4 linked regions of the Drosophila melanogaster genome follow. The protein of the gene in region 4 interacts with the protein of the main gene of each other region in a pairwise test. Each region holds a gene or a part of one and is shown on either strand. Other genes may lie near its edges. The genes, in order: Sema2b, CG8620, CG9853 and CG7546.

Region 1 (7,580 bases), on a different chromosome or scaffold from region 4:
GTTACTAGATTCGATGAAAAGTATTTACCAGGTAGAAGGATGAGTTTCCGGCCATGTAAAGTATGTATCTTCTTGATCAATTTCAATATTCCAGTCGAACTGTCCAGGAGAATTCGACCACAGCGTTCTCTCTTGTTATATATATTCACTTGGTGTTTTGCAGAAGTGCGACCACGCCCACGCGCAAAAAACAATATGAATTTTCCCACAAAAAGAAAAAGAAGGAAATGAAACCCAGACGGAAAATCAAGGGAGCCCGAGTTATTCCAAACGGCGGACCAGGAACAATCAGCTAGACTTAACTAATAAATTCCCGTGAATTCCGCACGCAGTGGAGTCGAAGCGGAAATCATTTAAGCTGCCAAATCAGCCGGCCAGATGGTCCAAACAAAAGGCCAGGGAGCCTGTAGAGAAAAGTGCCCCCAAACGGAATGGGAGCTGCAAAAAGAAAGCGATTAATATTCATTCAGTGTCGCGCGTATATCACTTTTTATTTGCACAGGGTCGTAGTTTTCTGGGCGAAAGGTAACCCTGCAGCGGTGGGCGTGGTAGGGGAAGGAATGCCAGAGCAGGCGCCGCCAAGTATGCATGGGAATTCGGCGCACGCAGCGGCAGGTGAGCTCGTGTGGCTGCTCCACTTGTTGTTGTGTTAATGCGAATGAGCATGAGTGTGTGTGCCAACGCACAATTACATACAACAATTTGTGCTTTGTTTGGCCGCGTGTGTGTGTGCATGTGCGTGTGTGCGTTGGCAGGGAATCCAAATCACCAAAGAGCAATCGTGGAGCAGCAACATGGCCAGCGGAATCAAGATGGAGGTGGATACTGTAAATGCACTCGAAGAAATCACAAGGAATTCAAGGCAAAATGTACAAAAATTACTTCGCACCTAGGAACTCGGATATCAATATGATATATTTCAGTAATAATGAACTACTCAACACTCTTTTTTTTCGCAAACAACACTAATACTTATTTTTCCAGTGCCCAGCGAATCCGAGTTGGCCTGCGGAAATCCAGTTGGCTTTGTGCCGCTGACACCTCCCACCGGAGGCCCCCTTCCCCTCTCCCCGTGGCCCCACTCAAATTGGAAGCCCAAATATGAAGTCGAAAAGTGTGTGTTGTATGTGTTTAAAAGGGTTTGGCTAGGGATGGATGATACTATTGAGGGGCGGCTCTATCGTTCCTCCGGCGCTTAGTTTTCAATGTGAAAATTGAGAAAAATTGCCAAACGAGTTGGTAAGCGATATTCTCGCCTGCTCCGCCTGCCGTTTGGTCCGATGCCAGGTGATGCAGTTGGGCCATTGTTAGCCCAAAACCCACCTTGGCCCAAACCGACTCCATCTTTGCCAGCCGTAGTTGTCTGCCTCTCCACTCACTTATTGTTAGTTTCGCTCGCTTTGTTTTGACAACTTCTGGAGGAATGCTCTGTGAACTGAACGCTTCGTCAAATAAAAACGAGAATTTTTGGCTTCAGTTTACTTCCGTTTGCTTTGACTGCCTGCTATGCCATCACTTGGCCACCCTGGCAATTGGAGACCCAAGAAGCTGCTGGCAGCCATAAAATTACGATCCAGCAGAGAGCAAATGACGCGAAACAGTCGCACGGACATGGCCAAGAGCCTCTGAGCCAAAAGGGGCTGGGGCAGCAACAACACGTTCCTTGCATAAAAATCGTGCAGGCCATGCTAAAAACGTTTATCCCTTTTAGCCCCAAGTTCGGCTCTGGAGGAGTCCTGCCAGCTCCCGCAGAACAATGGCGGCGAAACACTGAGAAAAATAAATACAAATCCTTATTCTTATTAGACCGTAAAGGAAAGTTGAATTACAAAATCAAAGTAAGTTATTGTAGGATATTTGTTGTTTCAAAAGAACTTGCTTACAAGGTATAGATATATTTTGTTATGTTTTGCAGTGCCTCGGATTTTTTCCTGTGCACTGAAAGAACAATTTCTTCGTCTTTAGTTTCAATGGCCCCCACGACGGACCGAAAACCATTTTAAATGGAACGTAAGCCGAGACTGATGGCCAGCAGTGGAATACGAGGAGTTGAAGCAGGAGTGGGAGTGGCGGGCAGATAAATGCCGCATCATTGGTTATTTATATGCGTGCGGATCTCAGGTGGATGGCCCTGGACTCAAACGATATATTTATTTGATTTTATTGATATACAAGCGGGCGTAAGTAGTGCATATCCATCTCGGCCAACGAGTGGCTTAAGTCCTGGCCTGGCCTGGCCTGTCCCTGTCATTACGACGGAACGATACGGAACGGAGACCAGTTTCAGGTGAATGTCGGCATGGGAAATTAATTAAATCGCATTCAAATGATTGGCTACGTGCCATTATTAATTCGAGCATAAATTATTCCACATGCCCTAATTCCAAATGATTTTACTATCCCCTTCGTCGCCGCCACCTCCGCACAATCTGTGGTCAATCACTTGATTGGCCGCTCAACGAATGGATCTGAAAGTTTAATGCAACACGTATTGGCACTTCCAATTTATGGCAATTAAGTGAAAGTTCTATAATCGCCAAAGAAGGTGTTGGAGAAAGGACTCTTGCAGCTGACCACATCAATTACTAACCTGGGCTAATTGAGATTGTGCGGCAGTTGTCATTTTTCCTTGTGGATTTGCAATTTGGATTTTGACTCGAAATTGTCCGTGTACATGAAATGCGTTTTAAGCACAACGTTCGTAATATATATATATTTCAAATAAAAACTGCTAAGAAAAAATTAAACTTTTAAATTCAATGTTTTAGTTCCAATTCCTAAAATTTGATTTAAATCAATACTTGAAGTATTAGGGTAGATAAAGAAGTTCTTAACACTTTACAAACATAGAAACAATAGTAAATTAAATAAAGTCTAAAACATCAGATAACATTATTTTGAAATAAATTAAAATTTAACATTATAAAATACACAAAAAGAGAACATAAAGAAAATTTGTATACGATTTTCATTAGATTTTTGTACATAAAGTACATAAAAATATATATTATTACAAATGAATTCATCTTGAAACCAAAAATTTTTCAGGGACAATGTTAACATTTTTTAGACTGTTCCCACAGTGCAAGTCTGTAGGCTCAACAGCAAAACAAACTGTTAAAAATGCCGGTAGGTGCTGAGAAGTGTTCCCAGTAACAGTTGACACGGCATTGCCAGCTCGAAACTCGTTTTCGACGAACTTCAGCGACTGCCAAACGAATGAGAGCGAAGCCGAATTCCCCCAAAAAGCCGAAGTTACGAAGATACGAGTGTGTGTGGTGCGAAAACTTCGGCGGCGGCGAAGCAACAACGACGGATTGTTCAGTTTGTCTTGAAATCGCGACTCGAACGGTCATCGTGTGCGGATGTTAAGCGGGAAAGTGGGAAATCGGAAAAGCGCAGTCAGAAACCGAAACCCAGCTAAAGAAAACTCGTGCAACTCGCTAGCAGTGCCCACGCAACAAACAAGAATAATAAATGCGAAATATATATGAAAAACACAGGTTTCAGTTTCAGTGACAAGTGTGCAACATAACTCAGCAGCAGTGAGGTGAATATACAAATCTCGATCCCCAAACGACTGTGCAACGCTCTCCAATCCCCGAATCCAATCAGAATCCCACCTGAGCTGAGCGCTACCTGCCAAGCGTGTTTCACTTTGCATTACCCGCGCTGACCAGTTGATCCCAACTTGTTTGCAACCCGTTCTCTTTCGTGCCTCTGACTGCAGAAAAGAGTGCGGATGGCGGAGTGCGGAGTGCAGCGTGAGGAAGACAAAGGAGTTATTTTTGGCCATCAGTTTGCCATTTGCATTTGTGCAGCCAGCCAAGTTGGCCCATTCAGCACATAAATTGCGAATGCAAACGGCCAAATTGTTATTGCCACTTAGAACAGCTCTAAGCGCAATTCTCTCGCCTTTTTTTTTCGTTCCGAGCAAAGTGTGCAATATCTTGGCCGTAACAGTAGCCACCTGGTCGCAACTTGCAGCAAGCGATTTGCGATTTGCGACTCGCGGCTAACAAAAAAAAAAGAAAAAATTGAGAAAAAACGCCACCAAGACACAAAAGCTGGTTGAAAAAAGTGCTGGCGATTGCATCGCATGTCGAGGTTGTTTCGCATGCCCTTGCCCCTCCGCCCCCTCCGTGACCCACCATGCCCCGTTTGCCACGCCTCTGCATACCCCCCTTCGGTTGCCCAAGAGCCATGCAACAATGCGAACAGAAAGAACTTCAAAAGCACTCCGACCCTCCGTCTGTTTTTTGGTGATTATGAGCGCAGAACTGCAGCATAGGGTCAAGAAAAAGTGCAGCCAAGTCGCCAGTTGGATGCTCTAACTTTTTAAAACCAAAATATCTGGAAATACTACAAAAAAATCGTTATGTTCAGCTTTTCAAAAGTATATTTCATTCTATTTGGTTGTCACTGTTGTTCTTTATGTTTTTATATATTTAATATATTTTAATATGATAGGTAAAGTTGTATTTATATACAGACAATTTACTAAGTATTCGGCACGGGGTCATTAAAAAACTTACAGACTTATTTTCATAATATTTTAGTGTCTCAATTAAACATTCAGCACTCTTTTTTTTATTTATTTTGTAATTGCATATAAAGTGGCGCTTTTTTAAAGAGTGTGATACGATCCAAATTTTTTTAATTCCTCGCTTAAAACAGGGGCATTAATTATTTCACAAAGGGATGAAAAACGCGATGGAATTTCTGCCGCAGTCAGTTAGGGTATTAAATGCAGGGGGCAAAAAAAGCGTTTCAGCTCGTTTCGCGGCGTACAATGGAACCTGAGAAGATTGGCCAGAGCCGAAAAAAGTGGCCAAAGAACCTGGCCAAAAAGAAGAAAGTGGCTCGTTGGCCAAAGAAGTGAGCGGGGCAGGCGGCAGGCTCAAAGCATTTAAGCGCCTTTGACACTCAGCTGGTGGCACAAAAGGGGGGCATGGTCTTCTGGATTAGGGGATTGGGGGTCATGTGAGACAGCTGCCAATCAATGGCAGACTAGGCCCATCACTTTGTGGCCATTTTGCCTCGTGTGGCATGTTGCATGTGTGTTACAATCGAAAAATAAACGTATAAATAAAACAAGAGCGACGAGAAAATCGAAAAAGGAAAATAGAAGAGGAAAACCGTTTTCAGAAATCGCTTCGAACTTCCCATTTTGGGCCAGGCAATGAGGAAATTATGCGCTAATGGCAGCCAAAGTTCAATTTCATAAATAGTTAACTTCAAAGTTGGTTACATTCTCCGAGGAAAAGTCAGTAAATTACACACACCCGTGTGTACACACACTCAATTGCCGCATAGAGAGAGACATTTTCAGCTTATTAAATGGAATTAAGCAATTTCTGCGTTATTACCATGAATATTTGAAATCGGGGGCAAATACCAAAGCCAGGGGATTAGTTATTTCCGACTTTACTTGCGCACTTTTATTCTTATTGATTCTTAGGCGGCAAATTAATGTTTTCATTGCGTTTTCCGTGCTCAGCCGCCTGTCCAACGGAAGTGTCGTGTGGCCCAATCAAACAAATACTCATACTCCGTAAAAAAAACGTGGCCGAGAAAAAGGAGCCACACAAAGCAACCAAATTACGCCTAATGGTTTTTTAATTGTAACAATAATTGCCGTCGCCATTGCATGAACAGCAGCAGCAGCAGCAGCAATCAGAGCCCTTAAGAAGGGTGAAAATGGCCGAAGGGGTAGGCATCTGACCCTCCTATTAATGAAAGCTCTTGGAAATCATTTAGATGCCTGCAAATTGCCAGGCTCTCATACAGTATGGAAAAATGTTTTCATGTAAAGAAAATGGGTATTTATGCGATATAAATTGGCAGAATAATCAGAAATATGCATAGAAGTTATTTATAATTCTTTCACGTTCTTAAACTAACATCTTATCATGATTTCTGATAGATTGAAACATATAAAATAGTTAAATGTCTTACTGATTTCTATTTCAAGACTGTTTTTAGGCACATTTCTTTAAATACTGAAAAAACAATAATCAACCGTCTTCAATGCCCTAAAATTACTGATATTGCTTAAATACCATAAACTTAAAAGATACATAGATACTTGTGATTTTCGAATCTAAAGAGTTTTGCCACAGACTGAGACTTTGTAAAGCCCTGACATTTTAAGTAATCAATTATAGGTATTTACGCATCCTACAGAAAGTGCATTATTTCATATTTATCAATTGAAATTAAAGATTTTTTTCTTTCTGTGCATTACAACGAATTGGAGGCTCATGTTTCTGCTGCGCCCGACTGTTGCTGCTGTGCAGAAGGCAGCATAATTGTTCGCTTCATGTTTGCGACTGAGTGTGCTCGTGTGCGTGTCTATAATTAAGGCCAAAAAGGCGAAATGGTAAAAAAAAGTGCTGGCCTAAGCTATGCCGACGACTAAACAAAAGCCAGCAATGAGACGCTGAACCTTGAACTTGCTGCCGTTGATGTGGATGGTGCTGCTGAACTCGGCTGCTATTTGGGTTTGTTTGATTCTATTCATTGTTCACTCGCCGGCAGTTGATTATGAGTGTATTTTTTTGTTTTTTGTTTCGTGTTTCTATTTGCTATTTGCTGGCTGTTTTTGCGAGCTGGCTTGTTGCTCTTTTGCTCTTTGGTCGTTTTTGGTTAGCCAACATAGCCTGAAATGGCCAAGCGTAGCATACTTTTGTGCGCCGAGGGTCTCTAATGTGCGCCATTTTGGTTTTATGCGGGGTCGGTGCCAGTGTGTGTGTGTGTGAGTGTGCGAGTGCGAGTGTGAGTGTGCGTGTTGGCCCATTTGCCCAGAGGTCATTATAGACGCTTCCTTGGTCCGCTCGGCACGTTGTGGCCGCCAACTTCCGCTCTTGTTGCTCTTGATGTTGCTGTTGGGGCATCTGCAAGTGTTGCTGATGTTGCTGTTACTGTTGGTGTTGCCACTTTGAGCCTTTTGGCTTTTGGCCGGGTCCAGCTCTCTAAAGTGGCAATTTGTCTAGTTCTGTAAGCGCCTCTTTTAACGATAATGATGATTGCGCATTGTTGCGTTTTTATTTCAGTGCACAACCTGTTCACACGCACACACACACACAGACAAATCCACTTGGAGTTATGCCTTTTTTTCTGTGCTTGTGTGTGTGTGTGTCTGTTTGCTTAGCATTTTCCGATTTTCATTCATAGCCGCACCGTTTCCCGTTTCATCCTTTTTCGCCCGTGTTCTTTCATTCGGGACTTTTATTATTTTCATTGCCATTTCTTATTCCATTTGGCCGTCTGTCAGTTGTCTGTCTTTTGGTTTATGCCTTTTGCTTTCTCTCACTTTTCCCATTTTTTTTCCACATTTTACCCCCCCTCTTTTTGGCCAAAACGTGTCGTCGCCGTTGTTAATTTTTAGTGTAGGACGAATGTTCGCATTTGCTTTATTGGCCATGGCCGAAATGCAATACCGTCTAGACGCCGCGTTTGTCCAGCGAGAGGCTTGTCGGGGGGCTAGGCCAACAGCCCGAACCAATCGTTTGATGTTCCTATTTGTTTTGGCCGAACTATTTTGATTTGCTATTTGGCTACAGTCGGTTTTGTTTTGG
Region 2 (5,860 bases), 350 kb from region 4:
GGTAGCATATACCAATTATTAATTCAAGGAAATGGGAATCGATTGAGCACATTGATACTATTTACTTGACAAATGTATATACTTTTCTAAGTAAACTTAAAACGCAATTGCTTGCCTAAATCCATGCAAACATTAAGTATTACCAAACTTTTTAAGCAAAAAGTTTGGTTTTTGCTACATTTCCCTTTGTATCTTTAATGCAAAAACGTCATGCTGACCTCCATTTTGCAGCATAACTTTTTGCAGTGTGTCAAGTTGTGACTGTTTGACTGACTGAGTGACGGACTGACATTAAATTGCACTCTTCCTGATTGCTTCGTCGCTTCAAAATCGATTATCGCCGAAGTCATGCAACTGAAATTATATTCACCGCTTGCCACATCCATATATGTATGTACATATGTACATACGTATATACGCTTTTACATACAAAGTTAACGCTGCATAATGAAGCGGACTACGTGGCTAGGATACAAAATCCGGAAGCCCCTCAGTCCGGCGGTCCTGACCTTTTTAATTTCAGCTAAAAACCAAAGCCGCACGACGCCAACACACCTCTGACCCACCACAACCACCCTCTCGCCCACACGACGATGTGGCTTCAACATAAGACGCAGCTCATATTCGATAACCACTTTCTACCCGCCAATGAGTTACAGTGGAGATTGGGTAAGCTTAACTTTTATCCTGATACAAAAAACAAAATATTTGCTTAAATTTGGCTTGTTACATAAGCAAAACTTTCATTTTCTTCGTAAAGAAAATTAATTGTACTTAAATGCTATGGAAAAACTATAAAATTTTACACGTAAGAGCCATTTGCCTTTCCCCCATATCCCACATCCATTATAAAAAAATATAAAAAGGACATTAAGATTTGTTAATCGATTTCAATTTAAAACTGACATTAACAAACAAAAAAACGATGTATCAGTTGGTATTAGTAAACTTTCTAAGACCAAGTGAAGGCAATTTCTAATCAGTTTGTGCTCAAAGCGATATTCTCTGCAATTTAACTTAGAACTCGCAGAATGTTCTACTTAGTGGCGTTCCACTGTAGCTACTCACCCACGGAGCTGGAGTTGAAGGAGGAAAACTGTGCCAGCGGTTGAGGAGGTTGAGGCTGCTGCTGGAGTTTCGTTCGTTGATTCGCTCGTTTGCTGTTTTGTTTGTTTGTTTGTCGGATTGTTGCTGTCTTTGTCGCTCAGTTGTTGTTCCTTTGGTGGGCGACGATGGAAATGTCAGAGGGTCGCGGTATTGGTATTACGGCCTCCCAGGGCATTCTCTTTTCGCTTGAGTTTTGATTTTTTTTTTTGCTTTGCCTGATAATTCTATTATTGCTCTCGCTCTCTTGGGGGGGAGTGCAAAATAATGGATGGCAATTCGCGGACGGAAATTTGCGAATTTAGCGCGTCGCTTCAATTTTGTGCAAATTGAATGCACAAACACTGAGAAGTGGAGAGAAATTACTAACTTCGGCGTTCTCCCTGTCTCCCACACACACACATACACGTGCACGCGCGAAATTTCGTGACAGCTGCAGCTGGAGAAGAAGAAGAGCATGAATGATCGCTCAAGGACTCGGTATCGTCCTGCCGTTTCCTCTCTCTCTTTCTCTCTCTGGTTCACTTCCTTTTGTTGTTCCGTTTACCTAACACAACGGCTTATTTGTATTGTCAGGACCAACTCACACACACGCACATACACGTACACTAGCGCACTGCAGCTGAGCCCAAAGGAAAAATCGATGATGAATCTGCGAATTAAAAGTCTATAGCCGCACATCGATTAATCTGCAGCTGAAGCGAGTCGCTTTAATTTAGTTTTTCAGCCTTGTTTTTGCTGCTTACGAGGAAAAAGACAGCAAGGCTTCGTTGAAAAACCCGTTCGGCGCGCAGGAAAGTCGGAAAAACGAAAATCGTATAGCGGCTTGGTAACAAAACGCGCCCACTCGCGGAAAACAACAAGTTTAAATATTAATTAAATCGATTTATATTTACTAAATCATAATATACATCGCTATTACTTCATGTAGGCGAGCAGAAGCACACTCCACGTCGAATTTATTGTTCGTTTGCTTAAAAAATCAGTTTCAATTGCCGCAACTCCGTTGGCATTAAAGTTATAACGATGTTTCTTTAATAATATTTTTTAATGGTAACCGAAAAAACAGCGCGCGCTGCTGCGCTCTCCCGAAAAATTACAGAGAGAATGCGTTGCGAGCTGCTTATATAGATTTTTAAAATATCAGAGAAACCAAATGATGGTAATGTAAAAATACCAAAGCCGGGAAATCGCGTTTTAACAGTCTGTTAACAGTCTGGCGTATCACACTGTTAATTCTCTTCAGCGGTTAAATGTATCTATTGGATGCGCCAAATATATCTTATCCATATTAACAGCTATTTTGATTAAGAAAACTTAGACTCGTTTAGTTTTATTTAAAATTTTTTAATAGTTTTGAATTATTATACCTTTTGTCGATTTTTAAATATAAGTAAACGTAAGGAATGATTTTAACCGCTTGTGGTTAAGACTGCATATTTTGGCGGGCACAATTCAAAAGCAATCATGAAAATACCACAATAAAAATACTAGTCTCAAGCGGTAATGTCTTATACGTAGTCTTATACCTTAAAATTAAATAGCAGTTCTGTAAAATATTTAACCGTTTAGTATTTCTAAAATAATGTGCTAAACCTGATTTATGCAATTATTAAGATCCCAAAACATTTTCAAAAAATTGTGTAAATTTCTTAATACTTTATATTCTTAAAATTTTCGATGATTTAAAACGATAAAATAATTGTTTTAAAATTACACACTTGGACGAAATTCAAAATTAAAATTATATCAAAATAATGTCATATTTCACAAAATCGTAAAAAATAATAAAAGGTATGCTTATAAAAATACGCAGAATATTTATAATGCATATAATATGCAGAAATACAAAAGTAAGAAGAATTTCGCAAAAATATGAAATATGTTTGAGGTTACGTTCGGCAATGAAATTATGTAACATTAAAAACACGTGATCAATGGAAGTAATTTCCCAAAAACCCATGAATGCGATTTGGTTAAAAATAGCTCAGATGACGTCACATTTATCGTGTGGTTTGTATGAGTATGTGACTGATAAAGAAAGGCAAATGTTTACAGTCCGAAAGTCGCGATTAGCTTGGCGCCAAAGTTGCCTATAAAAGCTCATCGACCGAATGCCGCAGAAGCCAGTCAAATTCAAGTGTTCAAGTGAAGCAGTCGAAACATAAGCAACAGATTCCGCAGCAGTTATATCCAGTTCAGAGAAACAGTAGTTAATCAGTAATTAAAGTGTTGAGTGAATTTCTTATCGGGTCAGTTGTAAACTAGTGCAAAAATGTCGCAATCCGATAACGTGGCACGTGAGCAAACTGCGGCAAATGCAGGGCCGGATGCATGTCAAGGATGCCGCGGCCAATTGCCAAATGCCACGCCCGTGGAAGTCGAGGACATGGCCTTGCCGTCGATGGAGCGTCTCATTCGAAAGGCCAACATGGCCCAGAAAATGCTGAACGATGTGATGAAACAGATCCAGAAGCAGCAGCAGCAGGAATCTCAACTCTCCATCAAGGAGACCAAGTCCAAGCACCGCAGCTCCGATGGAGGTAAACGACGACACAGAGGACGCAAACATCATAGTCATAGTCATCACACTAGCTCATCTTCCAGTTCCAGTTCCGACCACAGTGACTGCGAGCTGATCCTGGCGGAGAAGGAGGGGCACATGCCGCGGAGAAGACACACGCGAGATGACCGCAAGCGGGATCGTTCCCGGTCTCGCGGTCGCTCCCGTGGTCACTCGCGTGGTCGTTCTCATGGGCGTTCTCGTTCCAGGTCCTACACCGATTCCCGACGATCTCGAGCACTACCCCTGGCTCTGCCCGTTCGGATTTCAGTGTGAGTATCTGGCTTCATTCAGTATTATTCAATATTCATTTTATATATTAAGTGCGCATAAAAAAACCAAAAAAAAAAAAATAATAAAATATATAAAATATGAAAAAAATATTCAAATGAATTCTTTTTAATGGAGGGTGGGCTTATCTTTATTTTGGGTGCAAATAATACATACTGTTCAGGTATTCAAGATAATAAGTTACATTCGTTGATGAAATGCTGATTTAATTTAGCATTCATATTTACCAAAGTTGTGAAATATTTGAACCATTTTTCTGAGAAAATAAAGTTCAAAGTTTTGGAACTGTAAAAAGAAGTTTTTATCTTACCTCCATCAGCCGATTAACAAATAAACAATCGTTTGTTATTTTTAAATATTTCTTATATTTTTTAAATGCCGTTTGTTTTTACATTAATAGTTTTTATTTTGTAGTTGTTGTGCTAATTATATGTTAAACATAAAAATTGTTTCTCCCTCTCGTATAATTACTCGGTTTGTTCTCGTTTTGATTGTGATCTATTAAGTTAATTTCATCTTTTGATTTGTAGACTTTGCTGTGAGTTTGCTCCTTGCAGTCGCAACTTTTCTGTTGTTCTTAATAAATTCGTAAAATTCGATGTTAAATGTAATAAACCATTTCATTGCTTCGTACAAATAAATGCATATAAAAACCGACTAAAATCGCGTTAATCGCTATATAAACAAAGAGTGCTGCTGGCTCGTAAATTTTCGATTTTGTTTTTTGCTTTTATTTCAAATGAGACACTAAAGAATTATGCTGTCTGGCTCGGGTTGGAATAAATTTTACCCAAGTGAACACCTTAATCTGCGACTTTATTTTGTGATTTCTGTGGCTCTAATTGGTATGTTCATATTTAGTGGCTGCTATTTACTCGCTTTTCATGGCTTGCATTATTTATTGTATATCCGTAATTTAAGAGAGCTTTGTCTAAAAACAAATTTTGGCACATGGTTTCCGAAATGGGTTCAATTCGTCCCTCTGATCCTCCTTCTAATCCTCATCGATTTTATTTGACTGTTTAATTGGTTTCCTTATGCTTTTTTAGGCTAGTTAAAATACAGCTATGTACTCGTATTACTTTTGGATTATTCGATACGAACTAAGAGTTATATTAATTTGTAGTTTGTTTGTCTGCTCCTAACTTGGCTTTCGTTCCATTCGCGTCTGCTTGATTGAGTTTTTATGATAATTCGAAATTTAATTACGACTGGTATTTGATTCTCCTACAGGCTCATTCAATTTACTTTCATTAATTCGTTTTTAAAAACATTTATCTACAACTCGACGAATGACAGTTTATTGTAATGGAAACACTAATGTATGCGATATCATGTCAGATTATCTATGAATACTGCTTTCTTGAATTCAAATTCAGCTGGCGACATATTCGAGTTTGTGTACATCGGCTATATCGAATACATTTAGTTAACATTTTCATTGTGGCTTTACTTGTCTTTTGTTTTTTTTTTTTTTTCTATGTGAGTCATGCAACATTGTCAGTCCTTTGAGGGTTTTACTTTTTTGATTATTTACAGCATTTGCTCAATACTCTACATGTACGTGGATTCGCTAACAACTAAATGAGTATTCTTCGATTGTATATCTCGGTATATATCCTATATACATAGATGAGCACACGACTGCCTCATAACGTAGACACGCACACGGGGACATACATCAATATACATTCATATAAATTTGTACACAGCATATATGTATATCTGAGTTTTCGGCTTAGTTGAAAATTTCAAGATTAAATTCCTCGTTTCATCGCCCTGGTGTACCCACAAAACCGAAACTTATAGAACTACTTTAGGAGTAGCTTTTCATAGGCCAAACACTCAATGCTATTCGAGACTTCCACATCTAGAAGAAGTTCGTTCTTTCTACATACGATG
Region 3 (8,570 bases), on a different chromosome or scaffold from region 4:
TCTGCGGCGATTGACGAAACGACCTTTGCGCCGCGGAGTGCGTTTCTGAGCAGTCTCCTAAAAATGCAGAGTTAAAAGTTACTCAATAGTGCCGACAGTGTGGTGGATTCGACTTACGCCCTGCGGCTGTTCGTTGTCAGTCTGCGAAGTGGTGCGACCTGGGTTTCCTCGTTGGATGCGCCGGCGCACAGGCCCACGGCGGCGTCTGTTGTTTTGATGTTGCTCCACATCGGTGTCTTCCTCCTTGAGGGATATGGATTTTCCCGCCTTCTCCTCCCTTTCCTTAAGCTGCTGCAGCACGGGCAATATTTTTAGACGGCGCTCGGACAGCAGCTCCCAGTAAACGCCATTGGGGAAAGACAAGCGCTTTGGCACCCTGATTATTTCTGTGGGTGTTGCAATGATATCAACTGGCGTATCGTACTTCTGGAATAGATTCGGGGGCAGTGAGTCCACCACCTGCATGTCGTGCACGATTGTGACAATAATTGTCTTCGGTGTAATGGCTCCCAGTTCAATAAGGAGGCCGATGTCCAGATCAGCGAAACCATTTCCGCGTCCAATGCGGTAACCCTCGCGTGACACTACAACAGAGCCAATAACCACGATGTCCAGCTTCAGACCGCTGTCCAATCCAATTTCCGAGCGAAACTTTTGAATATCTTGAACGCGCAGAGCCTCCTTTTTCTGCTCCTCGGTGGCATCGGCCAGCACATCTACCTTTAGGCACAGTGCAGAAGATTCGCGGGTGCTGGGCAAGTATACGGACTTGTCGGCCAGCAATGCCAGTTCCTTAAACTCATGCAAGACGCGATCGATGTTCACCTTGATGTGCTCTGCAATACGGGAAAGAGTGATAATTGGTGCACTGAAAACGGGGCTGTGGTACTCCCTTACGTGCTTTCTTGAACTCCTCTTCATTGGCAAACAAGGCAGCAGCCTTATCGGCACCCACGAACGAAGGAATTCGGTTAAATATGTTGTTGAATCCAATGCCAACCTTGCCCTCTTGGATCTTTTTCCAGGTCTGCACGCGCAGCGAGCGCTTTGTGGGCTCTATGGGCTGAGCTGTAACGACATGTTTGTTACAATAATATGCTCCAATAACATAAACAGATGACTAAAAGAAACATATTTTAGTTTATTGCAGCGGTGAGCTCATTTGTATTTGTGTTAGTGATAGCTAGCCTTCATTAAATCAAGCCACATTCCATTCCAGAGCTGATCTGTAGGTATGATAACGTGCGGACCCAAGCGATTCCCCAACTTCTCGGACATGTTAGTTTTTGTTAGGGGAGGTTGACTGTAAAAGTGCGAATCAAATGTGCTGAATAGCAACACAGCCGCTGCCCTTATCGTCTGTAATGAACGCGTGTTATCACGCTAGTTGGCGCTGGACTAAAAGTGATACCGCGGCTGATATACCGGTTTCCACGCCCAGTAATCAGATGTGAAAGTGACCCAAACATACACCAGCAAACGCCGGCCCGTATCATTGAAAACAAAAATCTGCATGCAAAATCGGGACGGCAGGGTTGCCACCTGTGCTGGTTAAAGAACACACGTCAACATGCATGTGTGTGCGCTTGTTGAATTGAAACTGAAGTATGAATTGGCCGCTAAAACTATTTCGGCCGTCTTTCTTGGCGGGTTCAATGAGAAATACAAATTAAGAACCCATATCCCGATATTAACGCATGACCAATAAGTTGGCAACGCTTCGACACGCACACACTCGCACGCACACATTTCTGGGCGATGAGCGCATCGACTCGCGAATTTCTCAATTAATATGTATTCGTATGAGCAGTGCCGCGAGCGTGTAGTGGTGTCGGGCAGCGCGGGGCGCAAGCGAGCGGGTGAATTGACACTGCGAGCACAGAATCTCGAAATCGAAATCGGCCAAGAGCACCGAAAATGATTCATTTCACTTTTTGTAATTGTGGGAAGAATGCGCGCAAAGATGACGTAATTAGTGTCAACAACAAGCAACTTCGGCGTTTCGGCAACTCTTATTTACAGCTAGGGTCTCCTAGAAATAAATATGGCGGAATTCGACAATCTTCCGCTTCTACACTGGCACCTAGAAAATGGCTGAATCGGGCACCTGCCCCTCTGGAACATGGGTATTCACTTTGGATGCCCAGCGAGCAAGGCGCGGCGCGGCGCAAAACATTTATGGAATCACCAGCACTCGCGAGAATTACACGCAATTTTCGTCGGCGAGCGGGCGGGGTAGTAGGGCAGGCCACTTACTTGTCGAAGACACCTCCTGCGCGGTGTTTCCGCCGTTCTCCGCGGCGACAGCGGGGGCTGCGTTGCTTTGGTCCTCCATCGAATCGCTCGCCAATTGTGTTTTAGTTCTGCTCACAATTTTTTACCGGCTCAGGCTACGGCTACACAGTTCACAGTTCACAAGCAACGTCTACCGTTCTCCGCTGGCTTCCAACAAACCACGTTTGAAAATTGACGTTTCTCTGGTGACGTAAAAAAACATCGCCGATGCGATACATCGATACATTTCGTATAGAGTTGCTTGCGATGGTTCTAGCTAAAAATATAATAAAAGTTATACATCTGAGCTTATACACGCCACCGACAATATACATTAGATCTACATGCAAGTCCATCATCTTTTTTCGCTTCAATTGTTATATATTATTTTAATAAACATCGAGTACCACCCAGATAGTTCGGTAAAATTGTAAGCTGTGATCACTGCGAATAAGGTATTAAAAACTAAAAATAGATAAATTTTATATTATTTTCTTTATTTATGTTTCTTGTAGATAAAGGAATCGAAGGATAAACTATAATTAACACAGGCTCCTGCCCCGGCTTAGGATTTTCTAAATGTAACTCTTCTGCAAGGTCCCTAAGGAATGTTTTATATAAAAATATAAAAGAATCTTTAGTGATGCGACTAAGACTATGTAATAAACAAAAAAAACAAGATGGAATGCTATAGTCGAAATCCCCGACTATCAGATACCCGTTACTCAGCTAGTGTGAATGCGAACGCGAAATTTCATTAAAAAAAACAAGAGGGAACGCTATAGTCAAGTTCCCCGACTATCAGATACCCGTTACTCAGCCAGTGGGAATGCGTTTTTAGGGCGTTAGAATGGGTGTGGTAAAAAGTTTCTTGGCAAATCGATAGAAAATTTCAAGACTAATTAAATTATGAAACAATATCAACACATTTTTTAAAAGTGTGGGCGTCACAGTTTTGTGCGGTTTGTGGGCATTAGAATGGGCATGGCAGCATGGGTCAACAAACGTGAGCCGCGTCTCTAAAATCTGTATGCTTAATCCCAACCTCTAGATTTTATAGTTCCTGAGATCACGACGTTTATACGGACAGACGGATAGACTCGGCTATTGATCCGGATTATATATAATATATATCCCTTATATAGTCGGAAACGCTGCTATCTGCCTGTTACATACTTTTCTAGTACGAATCTAGTATACTTTTTTACTCTACGAGTAAGGAATAAGAATAATACACACGACTTTAGAAATTCAATCCTAATACTGTTTATTTTATAACCTACTATTAAACTTTTAAGTATGTACAGTCAATAACAGTAATATTAGTGATAGGTGCCAACCAAGATATCATCGTATGGCCTGTGACATGTGCAATGGGGTCACCATTAGGGTAAGCTCCGCGTCCTTTAAATTTGCCCCACGCAAATTTGCCTCCTGCAAGTCGCTGCCAGAAAGATTGCATTTTTCCAAGTCGGCACCTGCTAACACCGCAGCTCGCAAATTACAGTTCTTCATATTGGCGTTCTTCAAATTTGCCACACGTAAGTTAACACCGGCCATGTTGCTGCTTTCCAAACATGCTCCTTTGAGGTTAACACCCTCTAGATTAGTTCGAACTCCTGTTGGGTCTTCAAAATTACACCCACGCAAGTTTGCACCTTCCTGAAAGATTAGGCAGATTAGTTTTCTTAGCTAATTGGATGGCGTAAATCTGTTACAACTAGTTTCACAAATGATGTGATTATTTAATAGCGTTTTCTGTTAAACCTGTGCTTACCATATTGGCGCAAAGTCCCCGCACTGACACTAGTTGGGCACATTCCAAGTTTGCGTACTGAAGATCCGCCCGTTCAAGACAGCAGTAGTTAAGATTGGTGTGGGACAAATTGCAGTGAGACATGTTGGCATACTGTGAAGGAAAAGGGATAGTCTTTAGTATAATTATTGTCTTCAACTTGATAGATCTCCACCAATAATTTTCCATTTTTTTCCGGACGAAAATATCTCCTTTACTGCGTAGCAAACTACAATAATATTAAAATGCAGTCGTGTTACGGCGTTGGAAAGACTTAAAATGTTGTATTACACAATGTATGCATTGAAATGAAATTCGTTTGCGCACACCTTGAAGTTAATGTTGCGAAAATCTAGCTTTCGTAGATCGGCCCCAGACAGATTAACGCCTTGAAAGCGCAGCTCCGTTATCACGGAGGTCTGAATGATGGCCTTGATGACGTCGTTGCGCGTCAATGGTCTGTCCCCCAGCGGCGTCTCCTGCTGTCCCAGGCGTTCCTCCAAATGGGTGACAAGCGAAAAGATTCCGAAGAACCGCGCCTCCTCCAAAACACCCAACACACTGATGTTCGAATCGCATACGAATTGTCCGTGGCGGAGGTAGTTGATGATCGGCTCGAAATATCGAGGACTTCGATCAATCAGGTATGCTCCCTGCTCGTCACGCTCGCTGGGCTTCATGCTGCCATTTTGCAGGAACATCCTAGCAAGCATTGAATCCGGTTCTCTGCCCACCAGAGTGTCGATGGTAGTGGCGTAGATTTGTCCACCCACGTTCAGTTTGACCCAACGATTGGGAGCGAATCCGCTAGCGGCGACGAAATCGCCGGCTGCCGGTGCGGCGTCGTCTTTTCTGGCTCCGGAACCACTCTCCTTCAGATCACTATTCATTTGATTGGGAAGTTTAAAAAATTTCCACAATGCCTGGCAATTCTCAGCTGCTTTATCTTCCCGTTCTTCCCCCGTCATTCCATTAAAGTCGTCGATTAGGGCTGTTCACACGAGGCCGCAACAGCAGCAGCGTTACATTTAATAGTTGTGTGAATTATGAGATATTGGTGAATTTAGCTAATAATTTAAATTAATAATTTAACGAAGAGAAGAAATAGCTCAAATAAACAATTATCAGAAAACTGGATATGTCTTATCTTATTACTGTCCATTAGCTACAAAACATATTATTATTTGAAATTTAATATTCATATAACGATGATTTAATATTCATATAAGATGGTATAAAATAACAAGCGAATTGAATTATGAAGAACCAATTTTCAGATGTGAAAATAAAAATATTTGTGGACATTGGACATTGCAAGCAGAAAACTATTAAAACCATAAAAGGTGTTTTACGAATGCATTTTAAATTACCAATTGATTGGTTAGAAGTGTAAACCCTCAATTTTTGTTTTGACATTGGGCGCCTGTGCAAAGAGTGTTATAGTTGGCAATCGACACCGATAGTTTGTCATCGGGAAGCTGGTATATGTAAATACAAAATAAATTATAAAAATTGGCTTCCACATAATTGAGAAGGTCGCTGAAAGCGTACGAATAAACCCCGCAAATAACCAAATGTCTGCCGCCGAGACAGGTCCAATAGCCAGCGGCAGTGCGGTGTCCACTGGACAGCGCGGTGTCAGCCGAGTACTTGCCAAGTTGTCCCAGTCTCTGGCAGGAGGAGAATTCTATGAAGCGCACATGATGTATAGGACGCTGTATTTTCGGTAGACTATTTGTATAATCCGTGCAAGGAAATGCAATCCAATAAGAAATTCGATTCCTTAGGTATACGGCGCAGAAACGCTATCAGGACTGCCTGGAACTGCTCTTTGATGGAGCACAGCAGCTTATTGCCAAGGAACAGGAAAGCAGCGCCGCGGACCTATGTCTCCTTCTGGTGGACACGTTAGAGAAGCGAGGACCACAGGCGGAAGATACCGACAACTTCCTGTGGGTTCCACGCCTAGGGGCTTTGATCCGCGGCCTTAACTCCGCGACTGTAGAGCGCGAAACCCTTATTGTGAGTCTTTGACATTATTAAACGCGACTTATACCGGCAATGAAATTTTTTTTCCTTTAGCAACGGACCATTAAGTGGAGCACGGCCTTGCATGGCCAGTATGGCCACCCAGTGCTCCATAAGTTAATTGCGCACGTGTTTTGGACCGAGGGCAACATTGAGTCGGCTCGTCACCACTATCTACTCTGCCAGGATGGCAGCCTATGTGGGCGAGTGCTAATTGAAATCAGCCAGAGCAGGGGCTTCCAGGGCGAGATGGACTTGTTTCTGGTACAAGCTGTGCTGCAGCAGCTATCCCTTAAGGATCGGAAAACTGCAGAGGACACGTTCACTGAGTACACACGCTACCACGCCAAGCTGCTTAAGCATGAGTTCCCCTATAAGGAACCGCTGGTCAACTTCTTGTACTTCCTATTCCGTCTTATTGACGCGAAGCGTGTGGCTGGGTTTCGGGCCTTACGCAAGCTTTACGATCCATCCCTAAAGCGCGACACGTCTTTTCTAAAGTACGTAGCCAAGATTGGGGTGCTGTATTTCGACGAGCATCCGGAGGCTGCTCATTCTGGCCCGCCCGGGTTGGGCGGAATGTTTGGTGACATATTCAATCGCCTTATGGCGGGCTTTGAGGAAGATGATGCGGACGATCATGACACGACCCTGAGGCGGCAAAACGAGAATAACGAACTGGAATAGCATGTATGCATTAATGAAGCATACCGAAGAGGGATCCTTTGTTGCTGGTCTTTTTGGTTGCTCAAAGTCAATGAAGTTCTTTGCCACAAAATCATCGGGCTATTTTGTTATAACTTTAAATTGCTGTATGCTAAATAATTTTAAATAAGCGTATGGTCTTGATTATGCAAATTATAAAAAAATAGTTATTCAAACAAAAATCACTATGACAAGTTCTCAAAAATCTTGTTTTGGGAATATCTTTTGAACTGGTAATTGGATTTTTGTGCTTTTGTAGTGCTTGCCTCCTACGCACAATATCCGGGTGCGCTTCGTCACAACGTGAAAATACATCGCGATACATCCCATAGTCGACATTTCGAGGATGCAATTAAAATGGGAAAAAATTGTAAAGAAAAATTAATTAATTGAAATATTTGAAAAGTTTTATAATTTTATAACATTTGTATTTCCAAAAATAAATAACCAGCATCGAAAGTCGACATTGAATATGCGGGATCAACCCGGCTTGTAACATAAAAGCAGAATCCCTTATTTAGGTGTAGTATAATTTGTTCTCATTTCCCTCCGTTTTTGTGTTATTCTGTATTGGCGGAAGAATTCAGAAAAGTTGTTTTTCCAAATTTAAATTATGTATATTTTAAGTCAGTAGTGGACTAGGTAGTAGAATTCGAATACGTGTGAATATTTCGTAAGTAGGTCAATCGTTTTTAAAAATTATACAATGTATCTAACTTGTCCTTCTGGAATCGACGGCTTAAAAATAATACGACGAAATCCCAAAAAAATATTTATGTTGCGATATAAGTGTGACCAGCACAAGGGTAAGTTAGCGTCGACCTGGAAAATACAATCTGAGATCTGGTCCGTCCGAAAAATCATTGAAAGTGCCCTGGTAGAATAAATCAGATTGGGTTTATTTAGTTAGTTTTATTTTCGTTGAACCACCCAAAATAAGAGTAAAGTTGAGAAACGCTCAGAATTAAAGCCACAACCTTTAACCGAAAAGGCCAATCACCGCACAACAAAGCCGAGTGAGAGCAAAGTAAGCAGGACCTTAAGGTTGGGCCTCTGTGCATCGATAAACATAGGACATTGTGTTATACTTTCAGCGAAATGGCCGACAAAGCTGCAGCGCCCTCTGTGGACTGTGCGGCGCCATCTGTGGACTGTGCGACGCCTGCAATACCAGCCGTGGAGGATCACACCACGCTGACCGTTCCACCTGCTTCAGCGAACAAAGCCACGGACGCTTCCACTTCCACTGCCGTCCAAGTGGCCGTCGATGGGGGGGAGCCGGAACGCTGCTGCTGGATCTGCTTCGCCACCGATGAGGACAACCGTCTGGCGGCGTGGGTGAAGCCCTGTCAGTGCCGCGGCACCACCAAGTGGGTGCACCAGAGCTGCCTCTACCGCTGGATCGATGAAAAAACCCAGAAGGGTAACGCTCTACGCACTGTATCGTGTCCGCAGTGCCAAACGGAGTACATCATAGTGTTCCCGCAGATGGGCAAGCTTGGAGGTGCTTTAGAGGCAATAGATAACCTCATCAAGCGCCTGAGCCCCTTCCTGGCGGCTGGTTTCTTCGTGGGCTCCCTCTACTGGACAGCAGTAACTTACGGAGCAGTCACATTTTTACAGGTACAACCTATCATTTTTAATCAGTTGTCATGCTAAGAGAATTAATTGTCTGTAGATTGTCGGACATGAGCACGGCATGTCCATAATGGAGTCTGGAGATCCGCTCGTTCTCCTTATTGGGTTGCCGGCTATTCCAGTGGGGCTT
Region 4 (10,204 bases):
TTCGACTTCCGCATTCACATGCCGTTCTGCACTTTTACGTTTTGTCGTAATCCCCGCCAATTACGATACTAGCCACTAGTCACCCACTACACACACTCCTCTGTTGGCCAAGTTTTGTAGTTCTTACCGCTGGTGTTGCATCCACATTGACAGCTTAGATTAAGTGTTGACCATAAATTGGCACGGTTAGTTGGCGCTTGTATTTATGAGGCCAGTGCAGTTGCCATTTAGCAGGTCGAATTTATATACTGGCAATTACAAGTGGTTGTTCATTTGTTTAAAGATTTAATGTGTATATTTGTAATAAACATAAATTTCTTCAGTACATTGGTGATATTTAGGTACATATTTTGATAAGCACTTGTTTGAACAAATTTCTATATTATAAATTACGAGAGAAATAAAATATTAACCACAAAACTCTGTTGAATCTGAACTACTGGCACACGGGTTAAATTCCGCCATGAATGCTAAGGTTCCTTGGTGTTATATTGCCAATCAGCTGCGGAAACCACCCCACCCACTCGCACACCAAGGCCAGTCTCATTTTCCCCCACACCGCATGCTCCTTGGCCATCCGTAGTTTATGGCACAAAGGGGACTTGGCTTCAATTTTCTTTATATTACAGCTTGATTTAATTTGACGTGAGACTTGCTCTGGGGCCCTGTTCTTGACCAGACCGAAATTAGAAATGTAGCCATGCAATGCGGAAACTCGTACTTGAATACATTTCTAATTCTGATTCTGAAGTGAAGCGATTACAGGTTACATTCGGGAAAATTCAAATGTTGCTTAATGAAAATATGAACAATTGGAAAAAGCAAATGTCATTTACCAGCTGCCAAGAGCAGCGACTTATCAATCTGCCCGATTGATATAATTTCATAAGGCGACCTTTGCCCCCGCCCACAACAACAAAAAAAAAAAAACACTTTCAATGTAGTGCCACGCCCACCCACTGTGACAGGAAAAACTTTTGGTGCAAAAAAGTAATAAAAAGTAACGGAAAGCGTTAGCTTAATAACAAATGGAAAGCGGAAAACGAGAGGGCAGTGCTGGTCGAAAAAAAGGGAATGATAATGAAAATGAAAATGCATAAACAGAAATCGTTGACAAGGCGGTGGGCGGAATGTACTGGGCGCTTAGATGAAGGACGGCTGCGTGGAAAACTCATTAAAACTTTTCACAGCCCATTTAAAAGCAATTTGTAAATTGTAAAACTTGCACTTGGACCGCGCAAAGTCGGTGAAAAACGTTAATAATTATTATTTATACTTTCACGCCAAGCATAATCCATATTGTAAGCGAAATGTAGGCTGAGCATTTTAATACAATTAACTGTTTGTAATTTGTACATCAATTTTCTCAAAATGCTTAATTGGGAATCAAACATTTAAACATAGCATATATCCTGACAACAAGCTTACAAAAACATCTTTTATTATTAAAAAAAAAATCTACAAACTTTAAGCAAGGTATTTTTTTGAAAATACTGTAATTAATCATTCAATTGCTTGCTAAAAACTCAGTTAAAAAAAAAAAAAATCCTCAAAGAGAATGGTGCACTCGGCAATCTGCCACTGCCCATTTCCGTGGCATCTTTTCAGTCCGGAAAATAAGGGCTCGTCGCAATCACTTTGAGCCCGTGGAAAGGCTCACAATCGCAGACATTAAATCAAATTTCCGCACAATTCCGGCAAGGGGTATGCGAAAAATTGTGTTAGCTGCGGTTGGCTTTCCTTCGCAGCCTTCTGCTTATTTTACTTCCACTACCGATGCCACAGCGCCACTTAAATATTCAAAGCGAAAAGTTGCCCTACACCTTTGCGTCTTGGCTGACTTTCCCCTGTTTTCCGTGTTTTCTTTTCTTTATTATTCAAACGCCGCTTTTCATGTGCAGTGCCCAAAAATTCCCACAGGATGCAGTCAAAGGCGGTGGGGTGATTAAGGGTTGGTGTGGGGTTAGGGGCGAAAAGGTTGATGGGTGAATTGTATTTCACATGTGCAGTTCTTTAAACGTTTTTATAGCGCTCATCTCGCTCATGCCCCACACGCTTTACATTGTGGGCAAGAGTCTAGGCAATTCCCTGGAGATATTATACCTTTCGGTTAGGTTAGGATAGCAAAGAATGTTCAAAAACAATATAAATAAAACAGATTAATATATTTAGTACAAATTCAAAAGAACCGCCTAAGTGGTTTTTAGGGCTGCCAGACAAGAAAAAAATTCGTGCACTCTGGTTTGAGTCAATGCTAACAGTGCTGTATTCTTCTTTGTGTTTGCCACTGAAATAATAATTTGGGTATTTTAGGACATTTTGTGTACTATATGCTGAGCTGGCAACTTATCTATTTTGTAGACATATGCAGCTATTATATTTTAAACTTCAGACAAATTAATATAATATATTATATTTTAATCTTAAGACAAGTTGTTATAATATATTTTTGTTATAATATATTTTAAGCTTCAGAAAAAAGGTTATTTATCTGCATATTCCAATTTTTGTAATCGTTACCAAACTCAATAAAATAATTTTCAACTGCTCCATACAATACATATCATTTTTGACAGATCGCTTAATTTTTGCTTTAAAACGGAATTTATTTATCAATACCTGCTAGTTTAGCTTTTTACAAGATGGCATTTGGCTGCTCTTTCACTCCGAGAGTTGGCAACACTGCCACACTGTCAAATTCCAGTAATTATTCTCGTCCACTGCTGTTGTTGAATTGCAAAGTCGCTCGGCGCGTTAGCATAGAAGCCCAGCATATATTTGCCCGATCCGAAAGCAGGCGGAGATCAGTGAAAACGTATACATATTTACCGCTAGTTGAGCAGTGCGAAAACGTGTCCGGAAAAGCCAAAGGCCAACGACAGCGAGTGCGAGCGAGAGAGCAGGTGACAGCGACACCGACAAGATTCCCCGCCTTCCCCCCTCCACCAACGAACCCTTTTCGACTGTTTTTTTGCACGGCACGGGGAAAACCGAAAGAAAAACGAGATTTTCAATTGATTTGCGACGCAGTCCGGCCGGAAAATGCTCATAAACCTTAAGGTGAAGACCTTAGATGCGCGCATCCACGAATTCAGCATCGACAATGAGGTAATGTTTGAGGTTGTGTGTCCAGGTCTAGGGGCTTCTTTATATCCATGCACCCCACCCATTTCCAGCTCACCATCCGCCAGTTCAAGGACCAAATAGCCGAGAAGACTAACATTGCGGCGGAAAACCAGCGTATCATCTACCAGGGTCGCGTTCTGGTCGATGATAAGCAGGTGAAGGAATATGGTGAGTCATGCCCCCGGGAGCACCCACATATATATATGCACTTATATCTAATACAACAATATCAATGCCCATGCAGATGTGGATGGCAAGGTGCTCCATGTGGCCGAACGACCACCATTCTCGCAGCGCGGAGCCAATGCCCGCAACAATGATGAACCCATGCGAACCTTCCGCAATGTGGCACGTCCGCCGCCGCCCGGAATGCGTACTTCTCCGTACTTCCGCGCCCTCGATGGAATGCTGGTGGGCACCATGGCCATACCGGTGAACAATGGTCCAGTAGCTGGGGTAAGCCATTAAGATGAAAGCTCTTTCAACACGCGTATTTAAACGTATCTTAGCAGACACGTCCTCCACCGAATCGTTATCCCAACTCGTCGTCCTTCTGCATTAACCGCATCACGGTCGCCCTGCACATGATCGATTGCGCTGACAATATAGCAGCTTATCTGGAAAATCCTGCCGTTGGCCTGAACAATCAATCACTGGACATTCTGCAGCGCGGTCGCTGGTCGATGGAGTCCACAGTCGTGGAAGTAGGTGTCTCCTCGACTGATCTGCCACGCAACAATAACATCATCGATATGGTCCAAGATGCCGTGACCGCTGCTCTTTCGCATACAGGAGCACGCAACTATACGGTGGTTCAGCTGCCCACGGTTTATACCAATGAGAATGGCGAGACGAGCCAGCAGAGAACAGCCGAAGCTATAACAAGTGAGGGAGCAGCCAGTGGAGCTGCAAGTAATGCTAGTGGTGAAACCACAGCTGCTACTGTGATTATCGAGGATGTTATCGAAACGGACGACGAAGTGGCCGATGGAGCATCAGATCGTTCGGTCACGCCAACACCAGAGCCGGAGGCGGAAGGAGCAGTTGGTGGCCAGCAAGTCACTGCAGCAGAGACTCCCACATCCTCGGTTGGATCAGCAAATGACGCGGCTGCCGAAGGCGGCAACAACTCAGGACCCAGGCGACGCACTCGTCCTCAGGTGTTGGCCCAAGTTATTCAGCACTATCGTGGCGTACAGGCTCGCTTGGCGCCTTTTGTTGATCGGTACTATGAGATTCTCCAGAATGATCCCACTTTTGAGGAGAGTGTAAGTTAATAAGCCGAGCTCTTATAAGCCTATTAAAACATTAAATTCCTTTTTTAGGACACCGATGGTCGCGAGAACGCACAGCGCATCTTCGATCGCGTCTCGGAGGCTTTCCACTACCTTTCGCACGCCCAGCACGCTATATCCGATTTAATGCTTGACCTGTCGCAGCCAGGGCCACGTGTGCTCACCTGCCGACCCATTCTCGTTGAGCAGAGCGGTTACATACGCTCCAATAACATCTTCACGCCCAACTTTTTGGCACCGCCCTCGGGTATTATCAACGAGCCTTTCCGCAATAGAGCACCTGGTTCTGCCTCTGCAGCTGGCACTCAAACGGCCACCACAGCGGGCACTCAAACGCCCACCAGCGCGGGCACTCCAACTGCTGTGGCACCTTCGCAGGCTGCCAATTTGCAGGCGGCCACCGATGCCAGTCGCAGTGCAGCGGCCATGGCGGAGATCGCCAGTCGAGCTGCTGGAGCCGCTGCGGAAATGGCTGCCGGAGCTGCCAGTGCGGCTGCTGGAGCTGCGAATGCGGCTGCCGCCGCCGCTCGCGATTTATCCAGTGATCAAGTAGAGGATCCCATCGACGAGCCTATGGTGGGGCCAAATGCTGCAGGTGCTGAAACACTAGCACAAGAGCAACAGCGTCTCGAAATGGGTAAGAAACTTTATACAAACACTGTATGCAGATGAGGCTGTGCAAAATCAAATTCACTCATGGCCTTAGACAAGGAATTCGTGTCTCTGAATCGTAAATATTCCCGTATTATTTGTTGAAAATATTCTAGATCACGACCACGATCAAGCTCAAAGTGAAACTCCCGAACGAGAAACCCGACCAGTGCCTAGGCTGCGTGTCTATGTGCCAGTGACTTTGCCACCGCCCAGTATGTTTTGATTGTTCGGTTGAATCCAACGCCTCAGTCATGGCAGACTAACCATAATCTTAGCTGCTCACTCACTGCATCCCTACTTTGGTTTCACTTTCACTTTGCTAGTTTGATTCTTTTACTGACCCGGCCCTAAACAAATTAACCCTTGCTATACTGAACGCTTCAAAGAGCTGTTACTGCTGCTTTACAGATCCCCAATTGGAAATGGCCCGAATTATTCAGGCAATGGTCAATGGTCAACGACCGAACGATATCCATGTGGAATTCAATGCCCCCAACGTCATGTCGATTAACTTGCCCGTGCATGTGATGACGACCGTGCGACAGGCTCCGGCAGCTGGATCGAACGAAACAGCAGATCAGTCTGCGTCCGAATCCTCCTCCCCTGAAAGTGCGCCTGCGTCGGGCAATGGAGAGTCTCCAAATGCAGCTTCAACATCAAGTGGAACACGCAGTGGCGATCAGAGGGCCAATACCTTGCCCACCACGGCCACCCAAACGCGCTCGACATCAAGACCACAGATTCAGATTGGCGGAAACAACAACTGGGGCGGACGCATTGCTCCGACACACACGGCATTCGACCGCTTTCTGCCTTGCAATAGTCATCACATTCGGGAACCAGAGCAGCTGCTCCAAAACAACAGTACCAGTCGCAGCACCTCGACAGCACCAGCAGGAGGAGCCACCGTTGTTCCGCCCACATCTGCTGCAGTAACTCGTCCTGGTGAGTACGGCTCCCATCCGGGGAAATCTAGCAAACACTACCTTATGTCCACGATCCATTTCGCCAATCCACCAATCCATTTCATTTGCACACTCACCAACCGGAGATGGAAAGCCAAGTGTATCAAAAACCTGTCGGATCAGGGCGCGATAAATCTTTAAATGCTATACGATTTTAAAATTTTTACAAAATTTAATAGTTAACTATACTAAAGAACTATTTATTTGCTATCTCGACCTCCGACTGGCCTCCATCTCTGACATTAATTTCCATTTTATCCATATCATCATTTAGTCACCACTGGTCGCATCCAACGCGGCAGTAACACAATCCGCCCAATGTGGTCGTCGCGTCGCCAGCGACCAGCCAGCGAGCAACTAAGCAACCTGGGACCGGCAGCCTGGGCGCAGGCGCAGACCCAAACAACTCATATACCAAGTGCCCACGTTGGTGCTGGCAGTACCAATGGGGCCGGAGTCGGAGCCGGGAGAGTGCGGCCCGTTGGAGGATCGACCATCAATCGTGATCGGCTGGCGACTCGAACGGCCCACGTTGGCGGTGGCAGCACCAACGGAGGCTTGCCCTCTGGCCGAAGGGGGCGACTACAGGCCGCCACCAGTCGCCTGTCCAGACATTTACCCACCCAACTCGCTAATTTTTTGATTAATAATATGAGAAATAATGCGCCAACAGCTTCGGTAGGCAGTGCAGTTGCCGCCGTCGGAGATACGGCCGCCTCACCATCAGGAGAAGCTGCCCCAATTGCTTCAACCACGCCAGCTGCTCCGCTACAAACTGTTTTGCCGACATCCACACCCACTCCTCGCGGAGACTCGAACAACCTGCGTTCGCAACTGCGCACCTTCCTCAACGACAGCCTGTTTGTCGGAGTACCCATCAACGAGCAGACTATTCCGGGGGCCATTGGTCGCGCACTAGACTGGTTCGGGGAGAGCCTGGTCTACCTGCCGCAGTACGAGCGTCCGGAGTACAACTCGCGCGACTCTGTGTGCAACATCCTGCGTGTCAGCCTCCGTTTGATCATCGAGCTTTGTAATGGAGCTCCGGCCGGTGTAGATAGTGCTCAATTCGAGCAAAGTCTCAAACAGATTTGTGACCAATTCCGCAAGCGGCTATACAGCGTTCTCTTCCTGTGCCTTGGAAGCGCGAATGCGGAGCTCTATTGGCGCCAGCTAATGCGCCTCCTTTGCGCACCGATGCGATCCAGTAAGTTGACACCAAAAGTGATCGTAAGTATACTGGTTAACTCAATATTTCTTTTGCAGACTTCCGCAACGAAGCCCTGCAGTTTTTGTGCATCTACATAGACCCCACGATTCCCGCCCAAACTGACACAGTGGATGCCCAACAGTTCCTGGTCTTGCGCAGCATTCAAGCAGCTCCTCCAACAGCTGCCGACGAGGTAGGTTTCCAAACTATTTTCCATGCCCAGAAACTTATGCACTAATAGCCATTTGTGGCGCCGCCTCCTTTTGCTTTCAACCCACAACAGCAGCAGCTGCAAGAGCAAACTCTGGACACGGATGTTGAGATGTCCGAAGTGACCGCCAGCGGCAGCAACAGTTCACCGGCAGACGAGCTACCAGCTGTGATTGTGGGCTCAGAGCCTTGGCACATGAGTTTCCCCAATGATTGGTTGCCTGTGATAACGCGCGACCTACAGACCCAGGCAGAGGTAGGTTATTCCGTACAACTTTCTGGAATTACACTAAACTATGTCTCAATCTATGTATCCTGCAGCAGAGTAATCGTCCCCAGCCGCCCTTCTCGGATGCCTACATCTCGGGCATGTCCGCCAAGCGCCGCAAGATAATTCAGTCGGAAAAGCCGACTGCCAGCGTGGAGTGTCTCATTGCTAATGGAGTGCAGAGGGCTATCCAGAGCGTCGGCTTGGGTGGAAGCAATGGTGGTAGCGCCTTAAACGCGTCGATCAGTATGGATACCGTAATCGGATCCATTGCTCACGACTCCACCATTCAGGCCGCCTACACGGATGCGGTGCGCAATAGTTTAAAAGAGCGTACCGAGCGGGATGTGGATTTTAAGACCAGCAAGTATCCGCAGATTGCCAAGTTCACCGAGCAAAAGTAGGGGGCAGATACGGAGACGGAAGCCTGGCCACCTAATGCTTCTTGTACATTTTACTTTAATAAATTGTATTTAATTTAGTTAATGGTTAAGTTCTGTTTAAATCGAGAAGACGACGAAGATTGCGACAACACCAACACACGGAGTGGACCCTTAGCAAATGCTTCAAACTATTTAGAATAATAATATCCAACTGATATTTATCCACACACACACAGAGATACACACACACAATGGGTCAAGACGCAACAGAGCCCAATCAAAAACAATTTTTGCGGTGCATGAATGAGCAAAATAAACACACATATTAACCGAAACAATGGCGATTGGAATTGGATTAAATGGACTTGGATATTAGACCACACACCGAGCGGAATGCTTTCAATTGTCCCAAATGGCGGTGGCGTCCCCGCGTCGGATGACGTGCTGCAAAATCAGAACAGACCCGTAGACCCGTGACGACAGCCAAATTCCGAATTCCAGCCAAGTATTTTGGCCGGCGCCAAATCGCCATTGACGTGAGCCGATGGCACATGATTGCTGGACGGCCGATGACGACCAATCCGGAATGTGCAGATCTATTCAAGTGGATAAGCCTTCAGCAGAAGCATTACCGGAGGCATATCCACACCATCCCATCGTACCAGCAACCCGCACCATCCCATTTCATCGTCATCGAAGTCCGAAGCCTACGCTACTCTTGTTATTGTTGTCGCCTGCAATCGAAACACGAAAATGTGTCACATAAAAATGTTGAGAATATTTATGTGCAAAAAAAATAAAATAAAAACAAAAAGAAATACCAAGAAGCCGTAAAGAAAAGAAAACATATGAATAAATAATAATTATAAATATTTGCCGCTTTTCTTTAAATATTTACTCGAGATGATTGGGCGCCAAAAATAGATTGGCTACGTAATCGAGGTATATTTTCGTACCTACAGTTATTGATTACAGTGCGGTTCAGCACTGTAACACCACAATTGGCATCTGCTAAGCTCGGCAGTTGCTGTGCTAAAGAGTTTAACATTTTAGTTTATTCCAAGCTGCCAGTTTAGATCATAATTTAAATAACTATCTGCAATTCTTAGAAAATTATTCTGCGTGCGTTCTAATAAATTTATGTTAGATATATTCATAAGAATCATGACAATTTGAAAACTATAAACAGTTTATTTAAAAAAACCTTCCAGAGATATGGACATTATTTGATAGGAAAAACTGTGGAATTCGGAAAATATGTTCATAAAAGAAGAGTTTATCCCATTTATTAACAGATCTAAAACAGGAAGTAGTTCAATTACGAGAGGAATATTATTAATTGAAACATTATTGGATTGATCGAATAAAAGCCGGTCATAAGATTTAATTTTTTAAATCCCTCTAAATGAGTGAGCCCGGCTGTATGTAATTAAGTTAATCTCTCCGACGGCCCTAAACATAACATAATCGTGCCAAGGTTCCTCGGGAGCTTGCAGTCTGCATGGAAAATGGAGATGGATGTGTTGGCTGGGCATCAGAAGTCACTCAGCCAGTGGCCGCCCCCCGATGATCCCGATGATTAATTGCAGCCAGAACTGCAGACGACGACCACGACGACGACGAGGAGGAGGAGACATCGTTGGCACGCGCAATCCGTGGAATTTGCGGAATTTGTGGCGAGCGCATTTAAGGCGCCCAGTGTTTAATTATGCATGCGGTCCCAGAACTTGGAGATAAATTAAGGCAGCGGACTTTGATGCATGGCTCCTGCTCCCGGCTCCCTGCTCTCTGTCGCCTGCTGCCTGCTGCCTGATCCCATCCCCGCCAGAGTTTTGGAATCGCTCTGGCGCCAGTGGAAAATTTTCACTTGGCCCAATCTCAATTGGGCTGCGCAGATCCTTAAACAAGCCGGTTCCATTCAAACACTGCCAACGATCCTATCAGATACGATACGTTCCGATATGATACGATCCAAAAAGTCATAATTAAAAACATAGCTTGAGAGCGAGCGAGGCGAGTGCCAGATGTGTGTCTATGTAAAAGGACAATTTGATGGGAGTGCGTAGAGCAAGAGCAGCACATATGTAAGTACC

Evidence for each region.
Region 1: the proteins of CG7546 (region 4) and Sema2b interact in a two-hybrid assay, tested with the Drosophila melanogaster proteins (one large-scale study listed by BioGRID).
Region 2: the proteins of CG7546 (region 4) and CG8620 interact in a two-hybrid assay, tested with the Drosophila melanogaster proteins (one large-scale study listed by BioGRID).
Region 3: the proteins of CG7546 (region 4) and CG9853 interact in a two-hybrid assay, tested with the Drosophila melanogaster proteins (one large-scale study listed by BioGRID).

What each region holds. Positions count from the first base shown.
Region 1 is NT_033778.4:16,383,201-16,390,780, forward strand, and holds the start of Sema2b (semaphorin 2b), read left to right. Parts: upstream 1-3,323; 5' UTR 3,324-3,550; intron 3,551-7,580.
Region 2 is NT_037436.4:7,154,868-7,160,727, forward strand, and holds CG8620 (uncharacterized protein), read left to right. Parts: upstream 1-3,232; 5' UTR 3,233-3,379; coding exon 3,380-3,943; 3' UTR 3,944-4,007; downstream 4,008-5,860.
Region 3 is NT_033777.3:4,396,967-4,405,536, reverse strand, and holds CG9853 (uncharacterized protein), read left to right. Parts: upstream 1-3,509; 5' UTR 3,510-3,621; coding exon of another isoform or gene 3,622-3,936; intron 3,937-4,051; coding exon of another isoform or gene 4,052-4,183; intron 4,184-4,398; coding exon of another isoform or gene 4,399-4,959; exon of another isoform or gene 4,960-5,027; intron 5,028-5,346; 5' UTR 5,347-5,643; coding exon 5,644-5,795; intron 5,796-5,856; coding exon 5,857-6,091; intron 6,092-6,151; coding exon 6,152-6,784; 3' UTR 6,785-6,979; downstream 6,980-8,570. Other genes in the region: lost, read right to left, coding at 1-57, 118-836, 898-1,068, 2,257-2,335; CG14647 (uncharacterized protein), read right to left, coding at 3,622-3,936, 4,052-4,183, 4,399-4,959; CG9855 (uncharacterized protein), read left to right, coding at 7,901-8,425, 8,481-8,570.
Region 4 is NT_037436.4:7,508,335-7,518,538, forward strand, and holds CG7546 (uncharacterized protein), read left to right. Parts: upstream 1-2,651; 5' UTR 2,652-3,042; coding exon 3,043-3,108; exon of another isoform or gene 3,109-3,176; coding exon 3,177-3,294; exon of another isoform or gene 3,295-3,370; coding exon 3,371-3,582; exon of another isoform or gene 3,583-3,635; coding exon of another isoform or gene 3,636-3,638; coding exon 3,639-4,394; exon of another isoform or gene 4,395-4,451; coding exon 4,452-5,058; intron 5,059-5,188; coding exon 5,189-5,287; intron 5,288-5,483; coding exon 5,484-6,020; intron 6,021-6,314; coding exon 6,315-7,247; intron 7,248-7,306; coding exon 7,307-7,443; intron 7,444-7,491; coding exon 7,492-7,716; intron 7,717-7,781; coding exon 7,782-8,132; 3' UTR 8,133-8,982; downstream 8,983-10,204.